Oryzias latipes: one gene and its partner. The protein of the gene in region 1 interacts with the protein of each later gene in a pairwise test. Links are inferred from orthologs where the notes say so. Each region holds a gene or a part of one and is shown on either strand. Other genes may lie near its edges. The genes, in order: psmg1 and psmg2.

Region 1 (11,257 bases):
CAACACGCTTTCAACACGTAGAGCCTGAAAATGGTCGTAGAAACGCACGTAGCTATGTGTATGTGAGAGTTTTGAAGCCCAAAATGCATGTTCATATAGATCTTTCACTGGAGTTGCTAAAGATGGTGTGAACATAGCTACACATGAAGGTTCTTCCACCTTCACTGGCCTTCATCTGCTCATCAATATATAATTTAAAATCCTGTATGGATTTATGATTCATCATATTGACTGTAATTAGTTAACTTTATCTTCAAATTGGTTCCAAGGTCTTCTTGTGTCCTGGTGGGTTCCCAGACTCTCTTGACAAGTATTGACTGCTCTCTGTCCTTTCAGTCATTTGTCTTAAAGAGTGACAGCTAATTAAAGGGGAGCATTTCCAAGATTTAAGTTCATGCAGCCACGTGTGTGGGACCTTAAGGCTGGTTTTGTGGAACCACTGACGGTTCTTTATTAAATTTAGAAACTTTAAAATGACCCCATCTCCCACACACACAACAAACAAAGAAAACATCATTTTGACAAAAAAAAGTCTTTGACAGAAACAAACGTGGCTCCAGGTCTGTCAGGAAGACAGCTCATGCCGTGCATCCCTGCAGGAGTTTACTTGTAGAATCTGCGACTGGGTTAAAGCGGATTGTGTTTTTCGTGGGTGGTGACAATTTTCCACAAGGTGTCTTGTGCTTCATCTCTAAACCCTGCAGCCATTTAACCTTCTGAACTACACAATTTAAAGTAGCAGAAAGATTTTCTTGTGGCAAAAAAAAGATGTGTTAATCATCTCTGTTGCCATAGAGCTTGGTTTGTGTTACAAAGGAGAACATGGGAATATTACACCTTTCTCTTTATTCTGCTTCTGTGTGAAAAAAAGACACTTAAAAAAAACTCTTGTACTTTTTATTGTTGTAGATATATTTTCAAAAGTTAACAATTATTTGTAGAATTGGTGACCTTAAAACAATGGAAGACCATTAAAGAAAATACAGACAGAAGCAGAATATTTTTGAAGGTAGATTGAAAAAGTTTCAAAAGTCTAAGGATCTTAAAGCAAAGTTAATATTCAGGTCTAACTTACATAAAGCATTTTTTTGAAGTAAGTGTGTTTTTCATGGTTTGTTTATCATAAAAAGGAAGCTTTTTGGATGATTGTTGAAAGGATTTTCCAATATTTTAAGTCTGTAGCCGCAGATGAACTGAGAAATAATCTTTGCCGGTCATCAATGCATCAAATACCACAGTAAATAATGATATAAACTCATTCATGGATACTAAAATTGAAGTAAAAATGTATTTTACACTGTCATTGAGTGTTTGGTGAAACACATTACGAAACTACTCAATTTCATTTTACTTTAAATATATACTTTAGGGTATTTCGAGTACATTTTGAATAATATTTCTATTGTTTTAAATTTAGTAGCTTGTCTATTACAACAGACTAACTGCCTATCAGTGGCTCCATGAGACTTTAACAAAATACAAATAACAACCCCCAAAACAATCTTTCTATAGATTTTGTAAGATTATTGTCATGTGTATTATCAACCAATTATACAAAGCAGATGCTAATGATCGTCAGTGTCACATGAAGGTGCTTTTACTGCATCAGCAAGGTACCAACCAGACAAAAAGACAAAGCAGTCTTGAGTTTCAAGATGCTCAAGCTCATTTGAGTAACAACAAAAAAATGCAAGCAACTTTAGAATTGTATACATGGCGGTCTCCCAAGGAAACTTAATGCACCATACAAAAGAAAGATCAGGCTTTTTATTCTTCAAAATCGGATTTTTCTAGGTGTCCCATCAGCTCAGAACTGGCCCACTCTGATCATTTTTCTATTGTAAAACCGTTTCCAACGGTCTTTTAATTATAATTACACAGTTTTTAGCCAAAAATAATAATAATAAAAATCTGTTGTTTTTTAACACATAGTTTGTACAGAGTGGCAGTATTCAGTATAAATTTTCCTCTGAGTTGTGGGCAGGACCGTTGGCGTGGAGCAAACCCCCCCCCATCTCCCAAAACTGTAAGCTCTCTGTTTACGCCTGCTCCCGCTATCTCACAGCCCCTCACACCCCTAACCTGACATCCAGTGCAACAAAAATGGCGAGCAATATTTGCGTTATCCAGCTGTACGGTTTGCAGTCAGATGCCAGCTTAGATGAGGAAAATTAAGACGTACAAGGATTTAGTCGTCTACAAGTGAATGCATCAGAATGAGGAGGAACAGGGAGTTTGTGGCCCACCCGGCCAATTTTCTGTGTCACAGATTATCTGATTTTCAAACTGCGTTTTTTTTTTAATTTGTTCCTGATTCACAATGATTTAAACAAAGAAATACTCAGATGAGCGTTTTCTCAATAAATATCCTCCATTGTCAGAAAAATGCCACAAAACATTTGAAAAACACAATTTTCCTCTGAGTGGGTCTTCAAAAATAAAGGAGGAGGTACAAATCTAGAGATCAAAATGAAAAAAATAACACAACTCTTAAAAAAATGACACTGGGACATGATGACGTTCACTATAGGTATTTGGGCCTTTAGTCAGAAGAATGAATTCTGTACTCCTGACCTGAGTGCAGGCTAAATAAACTAATGGAATGAGGGACCATTAGCTTCCCTGTCCTCATTGGTGCTGGGACACAGAGAAGACAGACAGTCATTGTGGATGCTGTTGTGCACCGACTGTCTCTCCAGACTCCCCGTTTTAATGGGCAGTAAAGCAGTGACATCCCTGTTTGTCCTATTTTGACATTCCTCTCTTGCTGATTTGAGCCTGGGAGGCTTTAGTGTTTGTTAAGCTGCACAGCATCCCTTCCACTCTTCCTCTTTGCTATCAATTATATTAACAGCAGCCTGAAGTTTCCCCAGAGCATGTTGCTCCATTTTGTGATAGGAAACATTTCTGCTGTTACTTTATGGCCTCCTGATACATTATTGCACCACAGTAGAAACAGATCCCGGTTTATTATAATCCAAGCTTTGGCTTGCAATGCAGTTTGTCCCCTTAGCACAAGGAACTTTCAGGTGACAATGACGTGTTTTTTATCGCCATGATGACATCATTATAATTCTGTTTTCTCTTCAGAGCAAAGCTCACAAGAATATAAGTTATACCATGCAGTGGAAAGGATGGCTTTATTAATTTGAGCCAAAATGCACAAGTGTGACTTGGGTTATGTCTTTGGTTGGTCATGCAGAAGTTGATCCAGCATTTCTGTCTCTTTCCACTTCTTTTAATTATACATCACTGGCAAAAAGCTGGAAGAGTCATGTGGCATGTCAAGTTTACATACAGTTTGCACATGGGCTAAATATAGCACAGAAGTGTTGCTCTCAAAGCCAGGAAATGATGTGCAATCACAAAGATGTGAATTCCCTGGAAAGACATAAATGATCCTGTGTTATAGGTTATTGCCTCAGGTATAAACCTGATGGATTTTCATACAGTGCCTGTACATATTACCAGAACTGATGGCGGTGCACTGCTCACAGGGGAGGGCTTTCATGCAACTTTGAGTCAGTAAAACGAGGTTAGACAGCTATTCACATATTTCAAGTCAATCCTGAAGCAATAGTCACAAATCTAGATAAGTACTAAAATCAGTACTGATTGCTATAACAATTTATCTTGCTATAAAATGATTGCATGTTGATGATATGTCACTGGAAGTGATAAAATAAGTTTAGTGCTTTTTTTGGTGTGTGCCATAATTTGATTTTTTTAACAAATAAAAAGGGTCTGTTATCTACAGAAAAGGATTTGGGCCATTGAGAAAAAAACAAAGGGCCAAAAGGAATTGGGACTTTGATGTAAAAATTCTAACATTTTTTCCTCGGACTACTGATTTTAATCTCAGAATTTTAACTTTAATTGCAGAGTTTTGACCCTTTTCCCTCAGAATTCTGACCAATCTGACAAATTTTAAAATTAATCTAAGAATTTTTATTTTAATTTCAGAAATCTGACTTTTTTCTTATAATTTTACCTTTAATCTCAGAATTTCAACTTTAATCTCAGAATTCTGACTTTAATTTCAGAATTCTTAATTTAATCTTAGAATTTTTACTTTAATCTCAGAATTCTAATTTTAATCTCAGATTTTTTACTTTTCTTCTCTGAATGCTCACATGAATCTCAGAATTCTGATTTTAAAAAAAAAGTCAGATTTTTTTTTTCTGGCCTTTTATTATCATTTTTTATCCATGGCCCAAATCCTATTTTGTTATCTTGGTAAAATCTGATGGAAGTCTCTATAAAAATTTCTTCCTGAATGACTTATCTAAAATGCATTTTAGAGATAGACAGAAACACTGGAAGCGAATCACAGAAAAATGCACAATATACACAATATAAGAGAATTAAACACTCCTGGTTAAGTCACAACATTTATACATTACAGTACATAATATTCGCAACAATTTCAAGAAAAAAACAGTCTTTTTGGGTTTATTATTTTTATTTTATTATTCTTATTTATTTATTTTTTTGTCTGCAAATAAATAGGACTTTGATTTCAACTGTTTTGTTTAAGAAGGAATATAGAATAAATCAAAGGGACTTTATTTTGAAAACATTTCCGGTGCCGGAGGAAGTTGTAGACTGACGTCACAGCGCCTGGTGGGAAAAATCAGTTGCTAAACTTTCAGTTTCTTTCGCAAATCTTGCCGTTATGGCGACATTTTTCGGTGAAGTTTTATCTGTGTGTTCACGGGCCGTGGAAGAAGAGGACGAGGACTTTGTAGAAAACGAAGAAGATGAAGAAATCCGCAGAGAACTAGAGAAAAAGAGGTAAATCCTGTTAGTCATGTAGCACGTTTGGAAATCTTTAAATGTAGTTTGTTCACGACTTAAATAAGCAGGAAATGTGTGGAAAATGTGTAGATGGACCTCATGTACACACACACACACACACACACATACATATATATTTTCATTTGTTTATTGTTTAATATAAACATTCTGGTGCTGGTTTGTGAGGAAGCAACTGCTAGCAAAGCTAACATGACACATGTGTTTTTAGCAACAACTTTAATGAAACGCCCCCCACTCACATTAAAAATACATTTCTGAGCATGTTCTAAAACGTTGGGCAAAAAAACAACAAGAAGAGAGAGCTTGATACGTACAACTTCTGTTAGCTGATGCTTTGACCCAAATGCCCCTGTGCTGTTTAAAATATTTATTTAAAAAAATAACCAATATAGGACTTAATCTGAATTTAACAAATAATAAATGCATTTAGGATGGTAGTGTTTTGTGTGCAGTGGAACAAATGGAATCTGGAACGAATTTTCAGTCTGATTACACCAAACCGGATTCTGGTCCAGGATCAGTAACTGTTCTCTGAGACATCTTTGGAGGTGGTCTTGGTTCGTTTCCAATCGGACTGAGCTCCGGTTAACTCTGGGTTTTCTTCGGCAGAGCAACTTGACCAAAACATCCACCGTTGCCGGGCATTACAGGATGAAAACACAAATGCGGAGCAACGATGAGACACAGCAACTCATTGACATTTGGTTGGATAAATGCAGGCTCATTGAAACTACTTTTAACGAGATGGACATTGCTTCCCACACGGTTTACAATTGTAATATGTCATAAACACTTATCAGCGTTACTTCTCTCCTCAATAACCATCTTTCAGCATGCCCCCGCCGTACCAAAGTAGCAAAATAAAAAAATTGTTGTACCTAACGTTGATGCAGAGGATTAAAATTGGTCCGTGAAATATAAAGTTTCAATAAGTGAACTATTCTGACAAGAATTGCAAGAGCAAGACAATTTCTGCCTCTCATTGCTTTGCTCCACCCTTGTTTTTCCTGACCAATGAATTAAGAGATCTTTAGTCATGTGGTTTTCTTTACAAGCGTTAGTCTGGAACAGGACATAAGACATAGTTTCTGCAGAGCAGCAGTAGTTCGTCAGAATTTCACCTCTGAGTCTTGGGCGGGACTGTTGGCGCAGAGCAACCCGCCCCCTTCTTTCACCTGAGTAGGGTCGCTAATAAGTGTTTATGACAGATTTTTATGAGAAGCAATGTGTATCACGCTAAAAGTTGTTTTGATTAGCCTAAATTCACTCGATCACATTTCAATAAGTTGCCGTGTCTCATTGTTGGGGTGTTATGGCATTATTTTAAGATAATTCTGTTAGGAACTACAAGGTAGCTTTTAGGGTGACGTCACAGCAGCCCTGATGCGTGTACAGAAAAGAGTGTTTCCCCTGTGTTAAACTAAGGTCTAACAAATAAACAGTTGGACCCTTTTTTTCCTGTTTGATAACACGGCAATTGTTGCTTTAGATTTGTCCGCGGCTCATTTGTTTACATCATTCCTACTCTGTCTTTTTCGTCCGCTACTGTTTTGGTCCAGTTGTTCCTCTCCGGGAACGGACTGTATTCTGACCGAGGAATCTCAGAGTGAATCGAAGCTCAGCCTGATTGGAAACGAACCAAGACCACCTCGAAAGATGGGTCAGAGAGTGTTTCCTTCCTGGTCTCGGATCAGGGTCCACTCGGGTGTATTTAGACTGAAAATTTGTTCTGGATCATCGGGGGAAACAAACTCTGGTTGATTTCAAGTGAACCAAATGTGTCCAGTCTGAATAAGGTAGAGTCCAAACAGGGAAAAAGGGTCCAACTGTTTATTTATTAAAACATATATTTTAACACCGTTAAAAGAAGCTTCTTACGTGCTTTTCTGCGTCTCGCTACGCGGCGATAGGCAGTGCTGTTACATTGTCCTTAAAGCTTCCTTGTAGTTTATCAACAGAATTCTCTTAAAACATGCCATAACACCACAACGATGAGACACAGCAACACACTGAACTGTGGTGAATTAGGAACAACTTAAAACAGCTTTTAACGTGATCCACTTTGCTTCTCACACTGTTTTCCTGACAATCTATATCTGTCATAAACACTTATTAGTGTACCTTCTTGGCTATTTTCTAGGCAATAACCGCCCTGCAGCACGCCTCCACTGGCAAGTAAAAAGTGCTGAGCCTGACTATGATTCAGGCGTTCAAAATTTGTGATTGAAATATAAAGTTTGAATCTATCCCGACACAAACTTGCACACAAACTTGAAGTCCTACACACAACGTGCAGGACTTCCAAAACTTCTGCCTCTTGTGGCTTTTCCCCGCCCTCGTAATTCCTGGCCAATGACTGAAGAGATATTTTGTCATGTGGTTTTGTTTACTAGCTTTGGAACAGAACAGGAAAGTTCGTTAGACGACAGTCCGGTCTGAACCGAATGAAGTGGCTCGTTCAGCTTTTCCTGCAAAGACAAAAAGAAGTTACGCTGTTGGCTGAAATTTTATTTGTTTTTCTTTCATTCATGTATTTTAGAAGATCAGTTAAGTTTTTAGGTGTTAAAGCTTCAGTGGTAAATGCTGAAAACTTCCAAACCAAATAACAATGGTAATATTTTTGTATTTTGAAGGGTCATGTTTAGGTCTTCTGCCTTTTAATTTTCTGATGGGCCAAAGTTTACCTGACAACTCAAGATGTTGTGAAAATAGGAGGTGTAAATGTAAATCTACTAGATACAAAGCAAGAATTACCACACTGCGGCAGGCAGTATCTGTAAACAATTATCTCTGCTGCACCGACATACTGTCAGGTGTCTGTCTACGGCGTGAAGGTGGCTAAAACCAAACGCATTACTGCAACAGCTGACGATGAATCTTCACTTACATTTTCGTTTGAACGGCTTTTAGAGAGATGTTGCTTCTCCCGTCCCGCGTGCACATTACGCCGTTGCCTTGTCTCCAATGACTGATGGGTTTGCTTTGTTTTCCCATTTATCTCTTGAGAGTGGGCCGAACCCAAACACTTCAGTTTAAAAGCCGGCCATGCTGCAGCACAGAGTGCTTAGGAGAGCTTTCATAAAATCTGACTAATAGGTACGCCGTGTTTCAGTGGCTGTTCCTGAAATTTAAATGTAATTAGAAGCAAACAAACAAAAACAAAAAAATGTTGACCATGGCGTAAAAAACGGAAAAGTTCAAAAGCATCTTGCTTGTAAATGATAATGGAATAAAAGCTGCCCTTTTCTTTAATGATCACCAGAACATTATAAATAATTGTTTCTAAACTTCATCTCCATTCTTCAGGGAGGTAAACCTGCTCTGGAATCCCGAAACTTCGCAGTCGCTGGCGTCTGGAAACAAACTCCAGTGTTCAGATTTCTTCCTTGCTGTGGGACACAATGCTGCCAGTAAGTATTGGGGGCAAAAACGTGCGCCTCCCATTTATTTTCCTGCGCCTTTAACATTAGCAGAGGTCCTTCATAGCTGCTGGCTGGGCGTCAAACAATTTGCCAGAAAGCGAACATTTAGGTTTTTACTACAAAAGAGCAAATAGTTGACAAAAACAAGCTGCTGCCGGATTGGAGTTATGCCAAGAGTCCAACTCTTCTCTGCGTTTTATTAGATCTCCTGGGCATCATTTTTAGTTCTAAAATATTTTAAAATTTAAAGACACCACAGAGAAAGGGGAAGTTGAAGACCTTACACTTTAACAGATCATCTTTTCTCCTGAAATTGATTCGCATCCTGACAAGGATCCCCTCCCACAACTCAGCGGTAAATTTCTAATGGACTCCTGCCACTCTGCAGAAACTAGGTCTTAGAAAAAACAACACAGGTTTGTATTTATTTATGGCTAAAACGGAACTATTATGTTTAAAAGACCACTGTGAACACTTTGAAAATAGATCAAGGAAATTGATTGGAGTGGGACTTAACTGCTGCAACCAGGAAAGTTTAAGGATCTGTTTAAGATTTTCTGCTACAGTTTTGCACAAATACAGATCTTGTCATTTTAAATGGTTACTATTAAAAGCTGAATTGTCTTTTTTTCTTTTCTGAAGCACAAATAAGACAAAATATATAAATCATTATAAAAAATCATTAAAACTGATTCAACCCAGAAGGCTTCGTTTTTTATCACTCATTTGAAGAACAGTCTCTGCTTTAAAATGCTCTTTTATTCACATTTTCTAACCTAATCATATGGACACATGCATACTTATCCATTCAGACCAACGCATGTGAATCATTTCATTCAGTCACGCAACCTATTTGTTAAAAGGTGAGACACCTGAGCTCGAGTGAGTGTTTACGTTCTTCCATGGTGGATGATAAAATGTAAAAGGAAAAAGGGAGAGTGCCCCGGTCATCCCCACACCAGGACCCCCACCAAAGCAGCGGTGGTAGCCAGGACCCCCCGCCCTAGATAGAGATAACTGCCCGCCGGGCAATCACATCTGCCACCCAGGTCAGCAGGACCGCCACGGGGGCCCAATGCCAGACAGCAGGAAGGCATAGGGGGACAGAAAGTGCAAGAAAATTTCACGCACAACTTTTCTCACTTTTTTTCCCTATATATATTCACATGACAAATTTTCATCCATGCAATAGCCACAAAATGTCTGTAGTGGCTGTAGGACACGACCCTTACATGATGTTAAATTGCGGAAACGTGCAGGCCTGAAATGAATGTGTAAATTATTAACAAACCCCAAATATTAACAGATCATGAAGACAGTCATTTTCTTAAAATATATATATTTGTTTTCAGATTTGAGATGTCAAAGCAGAGCTTGTCAAAGATGGCATGAGCTGCAGCGTGAATAAAACAGTTTTCCTGTGAGCTGAATACTGAGCGGATGTGTCTTCACAGGCTTCCTGTCAGCGTACGTTCTCAGCTCGTCAAACTGGGACGCAGTTGGACGTGCGTCGGTGTGGAACGAGAGAAGCCGGGCTGTGGCTGGGCAAAGCAGCGAGGAGTCGGCATGTGTTTTCTACAGACATAAGGACATCCCATCAGTGAGTGACGCGCAGAGAAAAAAAAAAGAAGAGCATATGCTTTCTTTTGCCTAACTACCAGTAGACAGAAACGCCTCACTGTTGAACTCTTCAAAATTCTGTGTTCAGAAGTTTTTAAGTGAACACGTTATCACCAAATCAACACAAGATGGCTTGGAATCATTATTCTAACAAAGGATAGTTATGCCGTTGTTAAAATAAAGAATATTTCTGTTTTTGAAAATGGTCAGGGGTTATTTCACACCCAAAGATGAACCTGGAAATCTAGTTTCCGTTAAATAAGCTGTCAGAACACAGACTTCCAGTGGACCGCAGTGTGCGCGGAGGCGTGCGGTTACTTTCTATTTGCCTGCTGTCGGTGGCTCATGATTTAATTGGGATAAACGCAGCAAATGACCACGTTTGAAGCACAGAGCTGCTGTGGAGGCTACAGATTTATCACCTCTTCAGATTCCTGCAGGGATTTAATGTACTGAAGGACAGCAGAAGCAGCTGTGGGCAAAGAATACTGCCACAGTCTGCCATAAATTACACCGCTGCGGGAAATACAGTTACCACCAGGGCTGACTTCAACTTCAAATGACTTCCGTCTTTTACAATATTTTATATAATAATTACATTTTAATAATTATAGTTGATCCTCTTTTTATGCTTTTGTGGATTTTGAGGATATTCGTCCAGTTTAGTTTCAAAATTAAGTCTTTGAAATTTTAAATGGATATAAAGGTGGCCAGTTCCTTGGATGTTGAACAGTCGCACTTTAAACAGTGATAATCAGATGGAAATTGGGGGAGAGACTATGACTCACCTCTGTCACAAGTGCTTGAGGCAAGGCAATTTGTTTCTACATCACTTTAAAGTGCCCAGAGATGATTGCTGTAAAGTGACGAAAATTACAAAAAAAAAAGTCTATTAATTCTGTGGTGCTTTCATGAAAGCTTGATGGAATATTTTACGACTATGCAAAAGATTACAGACAGTTTGAATAATCAAAATCCTGATATTAGTGTTTCCAGTTTGATATGCAGATTGAAATGTGTATAAAGTTTAGATTGGCCAATTTTGTTATTTAATAGGAAGAAAATATTAATACTTTTTAAACTTGTTTCATTGAAGCTACATACATACATACATACATACATACATACATACATACATACATACATACATACATACATACATACATACCGGTACATACATACATACATACATACCGGTACATACATACATACATACATACCGGTACATACATACATACATACATACATACCGGTACATACATACATACATACATACATACATACATACATACATACATACATACATACATACATACATACATACATACATACATACATACATACATTGCATGCATGCATGCATGCGTGCGTACGTACGTACGTACGTACGTACGTAC
Region 2 (11,373 bases), on another chromosome or scaffold:
AGCCGTCACGTAGCACAACTCCATTCTTCCTTTTTTATCGGCAGCAGCCCTCCTCCTGACCTTAAGATTTGGGGGATATTTGTCACCGATCCTCACTGGACTGTTTACAGAGAACACTTTGACATTCTTTGAAGACAAACACCAGCGGTTTACCTCCAGACAACTCAACACACCTTTAGTGCTACTTCCTCATCCAAATAAGACTTTTTTTGTTTCCTTCCAGCAGTTTTTCATGCTCCTTTGCTTTTATGAGACTGAAAATATAGGCTATGCATTGCCAATTTGTAATGCTGGTCATACGTGTATTTTTGGAGAAAAAAAAATCTATTTCAAACACATAATAAAAAAAAGGTTCTATTTTTTATTTTTTAAAGAAATTACTTGAAAGTTTTTTAGGTGATGTGGGGTGGTCTGATGACAATCACCGCTTCCTTCCACAAATACCAGTGGCATGACGTGTTTCCACCATGTACATAGTACTCTTTTTATTATTATGAGTAAAGATGTATTTTTTTGCCTGTAAAGACAAAAAAATAAGAGGGAGAGCTAATGTTGAAGAAATGACAGCTGTTGTGAGCTGCTCTCTTTTGGAAATGTCAAGTTTTTTTTCTTTGTGTAATCTTCTAATAAAACTTGTATTTGCTTAATTTACACACATTTTGTAGTTTGTTCCGAGTTGAACTCTACATAGTTATTGAGGGGAATGATCTCTTCTTTGCAGGAAGCAGCTAAAACAAGGCTGGAAGAGAAATCCACAAACCTGCTGGATAACGGAACGAGCATTGTGTCGTAATTCCGGCCTGTGAGGAATCAAATTACTCATAGGTGGGACTGCCAGGAATACAGCATGGCAGCCGGCCAAGCACTTTCAGTTAGGAGGGAGGAGACGGGACGAAGTGAGAGTAAAATGTAATCACAAACGCAATTCCCATGAAAATATTTTATTGTGGAAAACATTGATATTATCCTGGAAGTGCTTTCCATTTCCTGACATGCTGATGTGAATGAAGTTTGAGGAAAAGGGAGATCTTTAAGGGGTCAGTGATGTTTGACGGTGTTGTTCGACATCTGCAGCAGGAGTTTTGTGTAAAAGAAAAAGCTGCTTTGAGGCTTTTAATTGGTTAAATAAAAGATGAAGATGAAATTTGTATCAGAAGAGCGCAGGAGGGATTCCACTTCCAAACAGAAGACTCCAAGAAGTAGGAATTTTCCATCTGCTATTTGGCTCCTGGTCCTAAAAATGGAAATAAGAAAAATGATTCATATATATCTGTTAATTCAAACCTCTACACTGGATGAGCTTCATCATATCAGCAGGTTTTCTGTCTTTCAAACCTGGTTGTCCAGCAGATGAAGCCAGTCGTTGAGATGATTCACCAGAGCAAAGGCGTCGGGAATGTTGTCTCCTTCAGAACAGAAGAGCAGCAAGACGGCGAGCCGGAGATCCTCTGCACAACTACACACAGCATGAGATCAGAGACACAAACAAGAGCTGCAGTTGTTACGTTCTGAAGTTATTCTAAACTTTTTGTGACTAAACAAAAAGACTAAATGAATCAATAAGATTAAGCCATGTTTTCTTAAATTCAGGCTTTAAAAAACCATGCTGATATTATGATTTACTTTTAATAGCCATCTACTCAATATCCGGGTTTGTAGCGACCTTTTGGCTCTGAAGCTGCGTCTAAAACACGCTTGGCGGTGGACGAACTTCAAATGAAAAGATAAATGCACATTTAAGGTTTAACATTAAAAACCTGCGTTCACGCATGGCTACAGACATTTTTAAGACCATTTTTGGGATCTACAGTCAGGACCATAAATATTTGGACAGAGACACATTCTTTGTACTTTAGTTTCTGTACATTACCACAGTGAATTTTAAATAAAACAACTCAGATGCCATTGAGCGGGTCGTTCAACAACCGAAGGGTTGGTGGATCGATCCCTGCTCTCCCCAGCCAGCTTTCAAGGGGGGTGACAAGCAAAAAATTCTTATTTTCTGCTTTGCAATAAATTAATCTTATCAAGGAAACTTATCAATAGCAAAATAATGTTAGTTTAAGAAAACATGCCTAAGTGACTAGATTTTTCCCCACAATTCTTGTTGAGACCATTTTCTTACCTACTGGCAGATTTTTTTATTTTAAGAAACCATTTTGTTTTTCATATTTTAAGAATTTTTAACTTTCTCTCTGTGTTTACAGCCTGGATTTCAGGCAGGAGGTGTTTTCTGCAAAGAGCGCTAAACGCTAAACCCAAACTACCTTCTTCTTGAAGTCTTTAAAACAGAGAATCTCAATTTATATTTTTGTATTCCTTTGGTTTCAATTCCCAAATTACAATAAATTGTAATTTAACAATGAAAGTTCAACAACAGTTAATGGCCAATTACCAGGACAGCAAAGAGGGCTTTTTTTACGTTATGGGTACAGGTGTCATGTCGGAGTCCCAGTACCTGTCAGAGTAAAGTCCTTTTGTGATGCCTCCTCCTGGGATGCAGAGTCGAGGCTCGGCCTCAGCATCCGTTAGTCCGGGAAAGGCCGGCGTTCGCTCCATCTCCCTCCAGCCCAGCTCCTTCAGAGCATCAGCACTCACTCCCAGCAGAGACGGTGTGACCAGGAACCGAAGAGGAGAACTGATGAAAACGCAGATTCATCAGAACAGAAATGTCTGGAAATGGTTACAAAAATATACAAGGATGCTGTCAGACTGCAGGATTACCCCTGAAGCTGCAGGTCGTCTCTCTGGTAGGCATGGCTGCTGGACAGAACCATTGTTCTGGAGAAACCGCTCGCTTTGATCCAAGATACCAGCTGCTGGCGAAACCGCTTGGTCCTCGTCTGCAGTAAACAAACAAGTCAGAAATCTGACTAATTCCACGTAAATGTTGACGGGAATCAAACGGCTTTACCTGAATAATTGGGGCTCTGATCTGGAGAACTGCCAGCTTCATTTCTGCTGCTGTGTAAACTGCAAATGATTTATTTTACAGATTCCGTTACATTTTAATGAAATACGTTTTGTCTGCACCAGTGGTCCCCAACCCCCGGGCCGCAGACGGTCATTTGGTACCGGGCCACACAGAAAAAATAAAATAACTGACATGACTTCCGTTTTATTTATTTCAGAATCTGAAAGATGTTTTATTTTGAAAAACTGCAGATTCTTTGTTCCATTCGTCTATGTCACTCTTGACGCAGGCCAATTCGCTGATCTCGGTCACGTGATGGGTTACCGCTAAAATAAAACCCAGGAGCTAGTAAAATGAATAAAAAACAAACGTCTTTGGAAAGTTTCTTTGCCATGGGGAAAAGGCTCAGCCAGGAGACCAAAGAGGAGCCTTCCACTCCCCCCCCAAAAAAGAAAGCTACATTTAAAAAGACAGTATCAGGAGTCCTACTAAAAATACGGATTTATCTCAACGGGAGATTCCCTCGAACCATTCAGCACTGTGGTGAGTTGGATTTTCCATGCACTTATTTTGAAGGCATGTTTAAATGTTATAATAATAGCGACCAGAGAGTGTTGCCGGCAGAGAGGACGTTGCTCATGTCCTAATTCTTGTTAATTGTAATGTTTAGAAAATACCACCGTTTTCATGCAAGTCTCATCACTTTGTTGTATTGTAGTGTCTGTCACGTGCACGTTTGGTCTGCTGTCGGAGTTCCGCAGGCTGCAGGGGTTACTGTCGGAGCTGGTATCACAGGGAATTTTAGCACCATGAGTGTGGGAAGGGGAGAGGATGATGACACAAGTGCGATGAACAATGTTTAGCGTGTCAAAATAAAGGTGCAGAGCGCGTCTTATCACGCGTCTCTGCCTCTGTAGTAGCGTTGCTGCAGCGTGTGTCCGCCACATATAACATACCGGACCGTGAGAATTTTGCCAGACATCAAACCGGTCCGTGGTGCAATAAAGGTTGGGGACCGCTGCTCTACACAATACAGTGAAATATTAAAATCTGTCAGTCTGTCACATAAAAGGGTGATTGTACACGAAATACAAAACTATCACATAAACCCTTAAACCAAGTCACCCAAAAAACTGTCAACACAAATCAATGCAACAACATTTGCAGCATAGAAAACGTATCAATCAGACAGACTTTGCTGAACCCATGTTACCTTCTGCAGGAGTGTGCAGCTCCTCCGCATCCTCTTTGCAGGAGCTGTAGGGGTTGTTTCCAGCCATGGGGATGAGACAGTCTGTGTGCATGTAGCCCACTCTCCTCATGTTAAGAGTAGATACGATGAGGTCGACCGCCAGCTGACCCACGTTACCAACAGAAACAGCCGGCTAAGGGGACACCCAAAGAAACAGGACAAATATGGAAGACGGCTACTACTGTGAGGTGAAAGGCTTTCAGAAGGCCTGAAAACTCTTTTACATCACAATCGAATAAAACAGCACATTTCTAATGCCTTTTTCAAATCAAAACAACTTAGCTAGAACTTTAAAATGCAGTATTTCACCCTAGTTTATGAAACATTATGGCAAAAACTTGAAAAACAATATTATGTCCATGCATTTATCATTCTGGAGGTGTTAGGAACCAAATTATTAATACAAATAAATGTCAGAAAATAGCAATCGTCAATTAAACCTAACAATCTTTAGTTTTGGTAGAGAAAATTATCTTAAGTGATGGAATTTGTTAATACATACGTGACTTGGTTTAACCAATTAAATGTCATAATAATGGCCAAGGCCATTTATCACAACAGACCTGACCCCGGTGTTTTCTGCATGAACATCAAATCGCAGAGGAGCTACATTCTCCCTCTGACATCCTTTTACTCGAATGTGTTACAGTTTTACTGCTGTTATTTGTTAGAGTTCAATAACAACCACAATTATAATAAAGAATCAATCTACAAACTAACTGACTGGAACCAATTACAGCTATGAATAAAGTAAAAAAAAAAGAAGTAAGTAACACAGACTTGTTGATAGTAATATACAAAGTAAAACTGCTTGCAGTTGCAACAGAGAAACGTTTGCAAGAAGTGAAACAAAAACTCACCATGACGAGGGTAAAATCTTTGAAAACAGGAGGCGAGTCTTGCGAGGAAACAAACATGATGCTGAACAGGGAGCTGACACAAAACCAGAGAGTTACGGTTAAAAAAAGTATGTAGGAGTACGCTAATCACAACTGAAAATTTGTAATATCTAAGCACACGCTTCCTCAAGTTTCCATGCCTGATTCTGTTGTATACGTTCGTGGAGATTTTGAGGACTGAAACTAGTTTAGGCATACTTCAGGAATGCCTGACTATAATTCATCAAAAAAGCAAACTTAAGAAAATCTAAAATCATTATAACCTATTTTAACCTTTAAATGTATTGGTTTTGTAGTAGCGTGTGTAGATTATTATTAGTTTACCCCCACCTAGGAACAAAAACATTATTTTTTAGATTTCTTTAGTCAGGCTAGTAGCCAAAACACCCTCTAGAAATAAAATGGTCAATTTGTCCGCGTTTTTTTTATTTTTTTTATATAACTTTATTTAACAAATGCAAGTAAATTTGTCCGCGTTGAAGCTTTATTTATTTATTTATTTATTTATTTATTTATTTATTTATTTACCAATGTATAATAGTGTAGCGATCTGGGGGTTAGCCCCGCCTATTATTATTAATTTTATTATTATTATTATTATTATTATTATTATTATTATTAACAATAAGAATATTATTATTATTATTATTGTTGTTGTTGTTAGTAGTAGTAGTAATAGTAGATGTAGCTTGCCGTAGCTTGCAGCAGCAAAATGTGTCAAATTAACTTTAAAGCCCAAATTTTCTCCAGGGTTCATTTAATGTTTTTAATACACTATGATTTTTACTGTTGTGTGATCTTTTTTTTCGTTTGTTTCTTTTCATGATAGAAACTGTTGTCCCCACACGCATTTTAAAACTCGAGTGGATATGACATTCCAAGCAATGGCAGCCAAACTCTGGAACACCCTGACTCTGCTTCTACCATTGACTGTATACGAGACATTCAAGGGTTGTACAGTCATTGACAAGACTGAGGCATTCAATCATAAGACTTTTTTTATTTCAGCAGGCTTTTAGTTAGATTTGGGTTCTTTGTTGGATATTCTGCTTCTATCTTTAATATTTGTTACTTGTTTTATCTTCTTTTTGATGTGGTTGTAAACATTCTTTCTGGAAAATTACTGCATACACTACTTACTTTATAAAAAAGAAATAACCCACTTTCACAGGAATTTTTAAAATGTAAACTGTTTATTTTACTAAATAAAAAAAGAACATTTTCAAAGTCTTTCTACCTTTCTTTTATTGTTCTCTGCCCTTTGGTTCCTTTTTTACTGCTTACATTATTTTTTATTGTTTCTAATATTTTCCCCTCCAGGGGGGTATTCCAATAAGCAGGTTATTCTAGTTACCACGGTAACTTTGAGGCTAAGGAAGTTGATAACCTCAGCTTTTGGTTCCAAAAATGGAGGTATGTTTCAGGGTAGGTCAAGTTGCCATGGCAACTCATGCTCTGAACATAACCTGGTCTGGAGCAGGTTTAGTTGAAGCTTAGTTTGTTTTCAGAGAGGTGAAGCAGCATGGTGTGTCCATTTGAAGATGATTTAGTGGATGAAGAAGCTCAGATAATACTTTTTCCACCATGAGAGGGTGATAAGACCACATATAGATGTTGGAAAGATAAACTTTTTTACATTGCTCTAACTTAATTATTTGCTTCAGTTAAGATAAATCAATTATTTTGTTAAGTCATCTTAAAAATAACATCTAGTTATCAGACAGTTATTTTACCTTAATTCAAATTAATTTTATTAAGTAGGTGTAACTTTGATGCTGCTGTTAGATCTGCACCGCAAGCAATTGTGGGATACCATTCCATTTGCATGTCTGGACGGATTTGGGTTTAAGTGTGGGTTTTTGACCAACTGTGTTTAGTTGTTTAGCTGTTTTACTGTGTTTTGCTGAGTTATTTGTCCTTTTATGTTATATTTTTTCTGCACCATGAGTGAGGGAGGGAGAGGATGATGAGGTTTTATTTAGAAGCCGCTTATTCTTGGTGATGTATTGTCCAAGTAAGAGAAATTGTAAACTACATCTTGAGTCATGATACAATTCCATTTTGTTTCAATCATTTTATTGTTATAAAATGAGTATATCTGCCGGCTCAAACTTAGACATAGGAGAGTTCAAGAAGTACAATAAATTAAGATGGAAAAACATTTGAGTAAAATCACATTTAGTTATATAAATATGTAAATTTGAGTTGTAAAACAATATTGAGTTGGGTAGACGTAAGAAATTAGGTTGAATAAATTTAACTCAATTACTTGATACCAATAGAAGCAATTCATTTAAGTTGGATAAGTTATATGCGTCACAATGAAAATAGAAATGAGATTGAAACTCGTGCGTTTACTTTTTCCTTCTTTTTCTCCAAGCAGAAACTCTTTCTTTTGCTGATGATGCAGCCGTATTACTTTTTTGATGGACGTATAATCCTCACACACTGTCATTTAAATCTCAGACTCTGTCACAAAAGTATAGCGCTCTCTTTTGTTCTCGTCACGTTTCTATGGTGACTCTGGATATCGACGATCCATTGAGAATGTCTTTATGTACTTGCTGTGCACGTGCATTAACCCAGGGTTACCAAGTCCAGCGTAATTACGCCAACTCATATCCGGTCTTTTGGAACCGACATACCCAGAGTAAGCAAGTTCAGGCGGACTTCAGCCAGAGTTCAGGGTTAAAGTCAGGCTAGTTTAAACCTGCTTCCTGGAATACCCCCCAGTATTCTTCCATATTTTTTAGTGCGTTATTTATTCATTTAAAAAATGTTAATGTTAGTTCATTGTACATAGTATTGTGCGGTAAATTGCATAATATAATAGTTTGTATGGTAAAACCCATTTGTCACATTAAAAAGGAGGTCTTGGACTCACATTTTTGTCTTTTTGTTTATTTATTCAAGTACAAAGAAAACCTGTGATTCTACAGATTACGATTGAATATGTCGACAGATGCGCAACTGAGTAATTTACAACAATATCATACAAGAAAAAAAACATAAATGAGATAGAATGTATAAAGCCACTCTTTACCAACACCTAGATTTCCTGCTTCTCAGTCCTACTGTTTACAGTGGCTTAGTAATTTGAAAACATCTATTGATACAGCTCTTGGCCACGTTTGTTTTATATAAGAACTCTATGACAGCTGTAAATTTAAAGACATAACGTAATATAACCAGCGACAGACTGGCGGCCTGTCCAGGGTGCCCCCTATCTTCACCCACAAGTGGCTGGGATAGGCTCCGGCAGCCCCGTTTCCAGCCATGGGGCAGCCTCAAATAATCAGTCTTAAAAACCCCATAATGCTAAACTAATTTTTTGCTCTATAATTTCCATGTATTATCATGATAGCATTTTTAAAGCTTGACTTCATTGGGAACCTGACTACCTTTTACAACAGCGACAGCGTTCTCCACCATCAGCTGCACCATCTTTCTCACTGTGGTGTTAGTGTTGGTCCCTGCATGGGGAGTGAGGAGCACATTGGGAAGGCTGAGGAGAGGATGATCTCTGCACAAAGCAAGCAGCAAAGCCCAGTCACATGACACTTTTATTCCATCATTGCTTTTGTCTTTTTAATCCGTTTAAATAAACCTCAAGATGTCAAATGCGTTGTTACCTTGGTAACGGTTCAGGATAAGTCACATCCAAAGCTGCTGCTTGAATAACTCCAGATTGTAGAGCCTTGAGCAAGGCCTCCTGGTCCACAACCAAACCTGTTGAGTCCCATATTAAAGTAAATATGGTTGCATAAAAATGAAATCAGATCTAATCCCCACCTCTGCTGATGTTGACTAGTGTAGCCGTGTCTTTCATGAGGGCCAGCTCTCTATGACCAATCAGGTGTTTGGTTTCAGGGCTCAGATTGACCGCCAGCACAACAAAGTCAGACTCTTTCAGTAGGTCGTCCATGTTCCTGCAGTAAATCGCCCCCACAGCCTCCTCATCTTCCAAACACCTTAGGAACAACGGAACAAAACGTTTACAAATGTGTTTGTTTGGATCTATAGCTGGATTTCAGGGTCACATTGTTAAACATTGATCATTGTTACCGTCTTGTTCTATTGTGATATAGAATCCGCATGTCGAAGCCTTTGCCCCTCTGAGCAATTTTGTATCCAATGTTTCCCATTCCAATAATTCCCAGAGTAGATCCTGATACTTCAACTCCCATCAGGCTTGATGGTAAATATGTGGTCTTGGGATCAACAGAAATTAAGTGACCTGTAGAGGTGGAAACCAACAATCTTTTGTCCTCACCCTTACAGAAGAGGTATTGAAGAATAAAAATGTGAAATGATCAATTTCCAGTTTCCCTTCACCTTCAACAATCTTCCGTGCAGATGCCAGAAGCAAACCCATGGCCATGTCTGCAGTGGCAGCACTCACCACCCCCGGTGTGTTGGTCACCTTCACTCCAAGGCTGTTGATGTACGACACATCCAGATGATCAATGCCCACTCCTCCATTGGCAACCACCTTCAGGGACGGCAAGGAAGTCAGCAACGACGGTTCAGCTGCAGGGTAGCAGTTCCAGACAAACAAGGCCTGGATTTTGGGGCCATACACGAGTGGATTCTTCAAAAAGTCTTTATGGCAGATGAGCTGGAAGTGCTGTTTCATTATGCCAATGACGCCTTCCAGGTAACCCTCGCCGCCCACCTCGGAAAATAGAGCCCATGGTTTTTCCTCAGCCATCACCTAAAATAAAACCAAATTTAAATGTTACAGCTGTAGAATAGATGAGAAAATGACATCCTCATGACACAGGATACAATCAGGACACAAACTTGCCAGTGTCTGTTTTATTTTATATTGAATGCTTTGATGAAAAGATATGTAAACCTTTATGCTATTAAGCATAAAGCATCTCTAGATTTATATATTTATATATATAAATCTATATATATATATATATATATCTTCTTTTTTCCCCATTTCATTTCTGATGTATAAGAATTTGTGTTTTTGCTGTTTCATGGAAATAAAAATAAATTTAAAAAAATTAATTCAATAAGTTCAAACATAAAGATCGTAAAGTAGGGGTATTAACACCCATCAGTAAAAATTATTAGATTAGATTAGATTAGATGACTTTATTTATCCCACGATGGGGAAATTCCTTTATCTGTGGCAGCAACAATGACATTCAGAAAATAACATCAAAAAAGGACATAAAAAATGATATTCATATTAAATAAATAAATAAATATTAAATAAATACAGCTGTTTGTGATCAACTGTAAAAAACATGTAAAACGTTTTTAATACAAATATAAGTAAGTAATAAAGTACACACCAAACAAACAACCATTTAGGAACAAAAACAATCGAAAACAGCAACAACTGCAACAAAAGTAAATGAATAAATGAGTGAAAGAAGAAACACCCCGGGGACCGTCTGATGGCTGTGGGGAGGAATGACCTGCAGTAGCTCCGTCTTGCACTGTGGGGGCAACAGCCTTGTGCTGAAGGAGCTGGTCAGTGCCTCTACAGTTTGGTGCAGGGGGTGGGAGGGGTTATCCATGATGGATGTTAGCTTAGCCGACATCCTCCTGTCCGCCACCTCCTCCATGGACTCTGGTGTGCAGCCCAGGACAGAGCCGGCCTTCTTAACCAGTTTGTTTAGCCTCCTCATGTCTCTGTCTGTACTGCCACCCGCCCAGCACACAACTCCATAAAGGACCACTGAGGCCACCACAGTGTCATAAAAGGTCCTTAGCAGCTGTCTGCACACGCCAAAAGACCTCAGTCTCCTCAGCAGGTGAAGGTGACTCTGACCCTTCCTGTACTGAGCATCCGTGTTGTTGGACCAGTCCAGTCTGTTGTTCAGGTGAACACCCAGATATTTAAAAGTGTCCACAATCTCAATGTCTGAACCCTGGATGTTCACCAGTGAGTGTGGTGTAGGGATCTCCTGAAGTCCAGGACCAGCTCTCTTGTCTTGCTGGTGTTTAGCAGCAGGTGGTTGCTTCACCAGCCAACAAAGTCAGAGATGACCCCCCTGTACTCCTGCTCGCGCCCCCGATACACAGCCCATAATGGCACTTTCATCTGAGAACTTCTGCAGATGACAGTGGTGGGAGTTGAAGGTGTAGTCCGATGTTTACAGGGTGAACAGGAATGGGGAGAGCACAGTCCCCGTACTGCAGACCACCACATCAGACACACAGCCTGTGGCCTGTCTGTGAGGTAGCTGATGGTCCAGGCAGTGAGATGTTGGTCCATGCCTGCAACCTCCAGCTTCCTCCTCAGGAGTGATGGCTGGATGGTGTTGAAAGCACTGGAGAAATCA

Evidence for each region.
Region 2: the proteins of psmg1 (region 1) and psmg2 interact in binary tests that used the Homo sapiens proteins (3 or more experiments, as listed by UniProt). The link is inferred for Oryzias latipes from reciprocal best matches to the Homo sapiens genes PSMG1 and PSMG2.

Annotation. Positions count from the first base shown.
Region 1 is NC_019872.2:24,921,225-24,932,481, reverse strand, and holds the start of psmg1 (proteasome assembly chaperone 1), read left to right. Parts: upstream 1-4,585; 5' UTR 4,586-4,675; coding exon 4,676-4,794; intron 4,795-8,124; coding exon 8,125-8,228; intron 8,229-9,694; coding exon 9,695-9,840; intron 9,841-11,257. UniProt on the Homo sapiens protein: Chaperone protein which promotes assembly of the 20S proteasome as part of a heterodimer with PSMG2.
Region 2 is NC_019869.2:7,089,023-7,100,395, forward strand, and holds psmg2 (proteasome assembly chaperone 2), read right to left. Parts: upstream 5,236-11,373; 5' UTR 5,084-5,235; coding exon 5,027-5,083; intron 4,300-5,026; coding exon 4,128-4,299; intron 2,974-4,127; coding exon 2,915-2,973; intron 2,844-2,914; coding exon 2,725-2,843; intron 2,639-2,724; coding exon 2,459-2,638; intron 1,457-2,458; coding exon 1,336-1,456; intron 1,235-1,335; coding exon 1,151-1,234; 3' UTR 926-1,150; downstream 1-925. Other genes in the region: uncharacterized protein LOC101168130, read right to left, coding at 8,435-8,588, 8,698-8,794, 8,858-9,036, 9,131-9,302, 9,401-9,779. UniProt on the Homo sapiens protein: Chaperone protein which promotes assembly of the 20S proteasome as part of a heterodimer with PSMG1.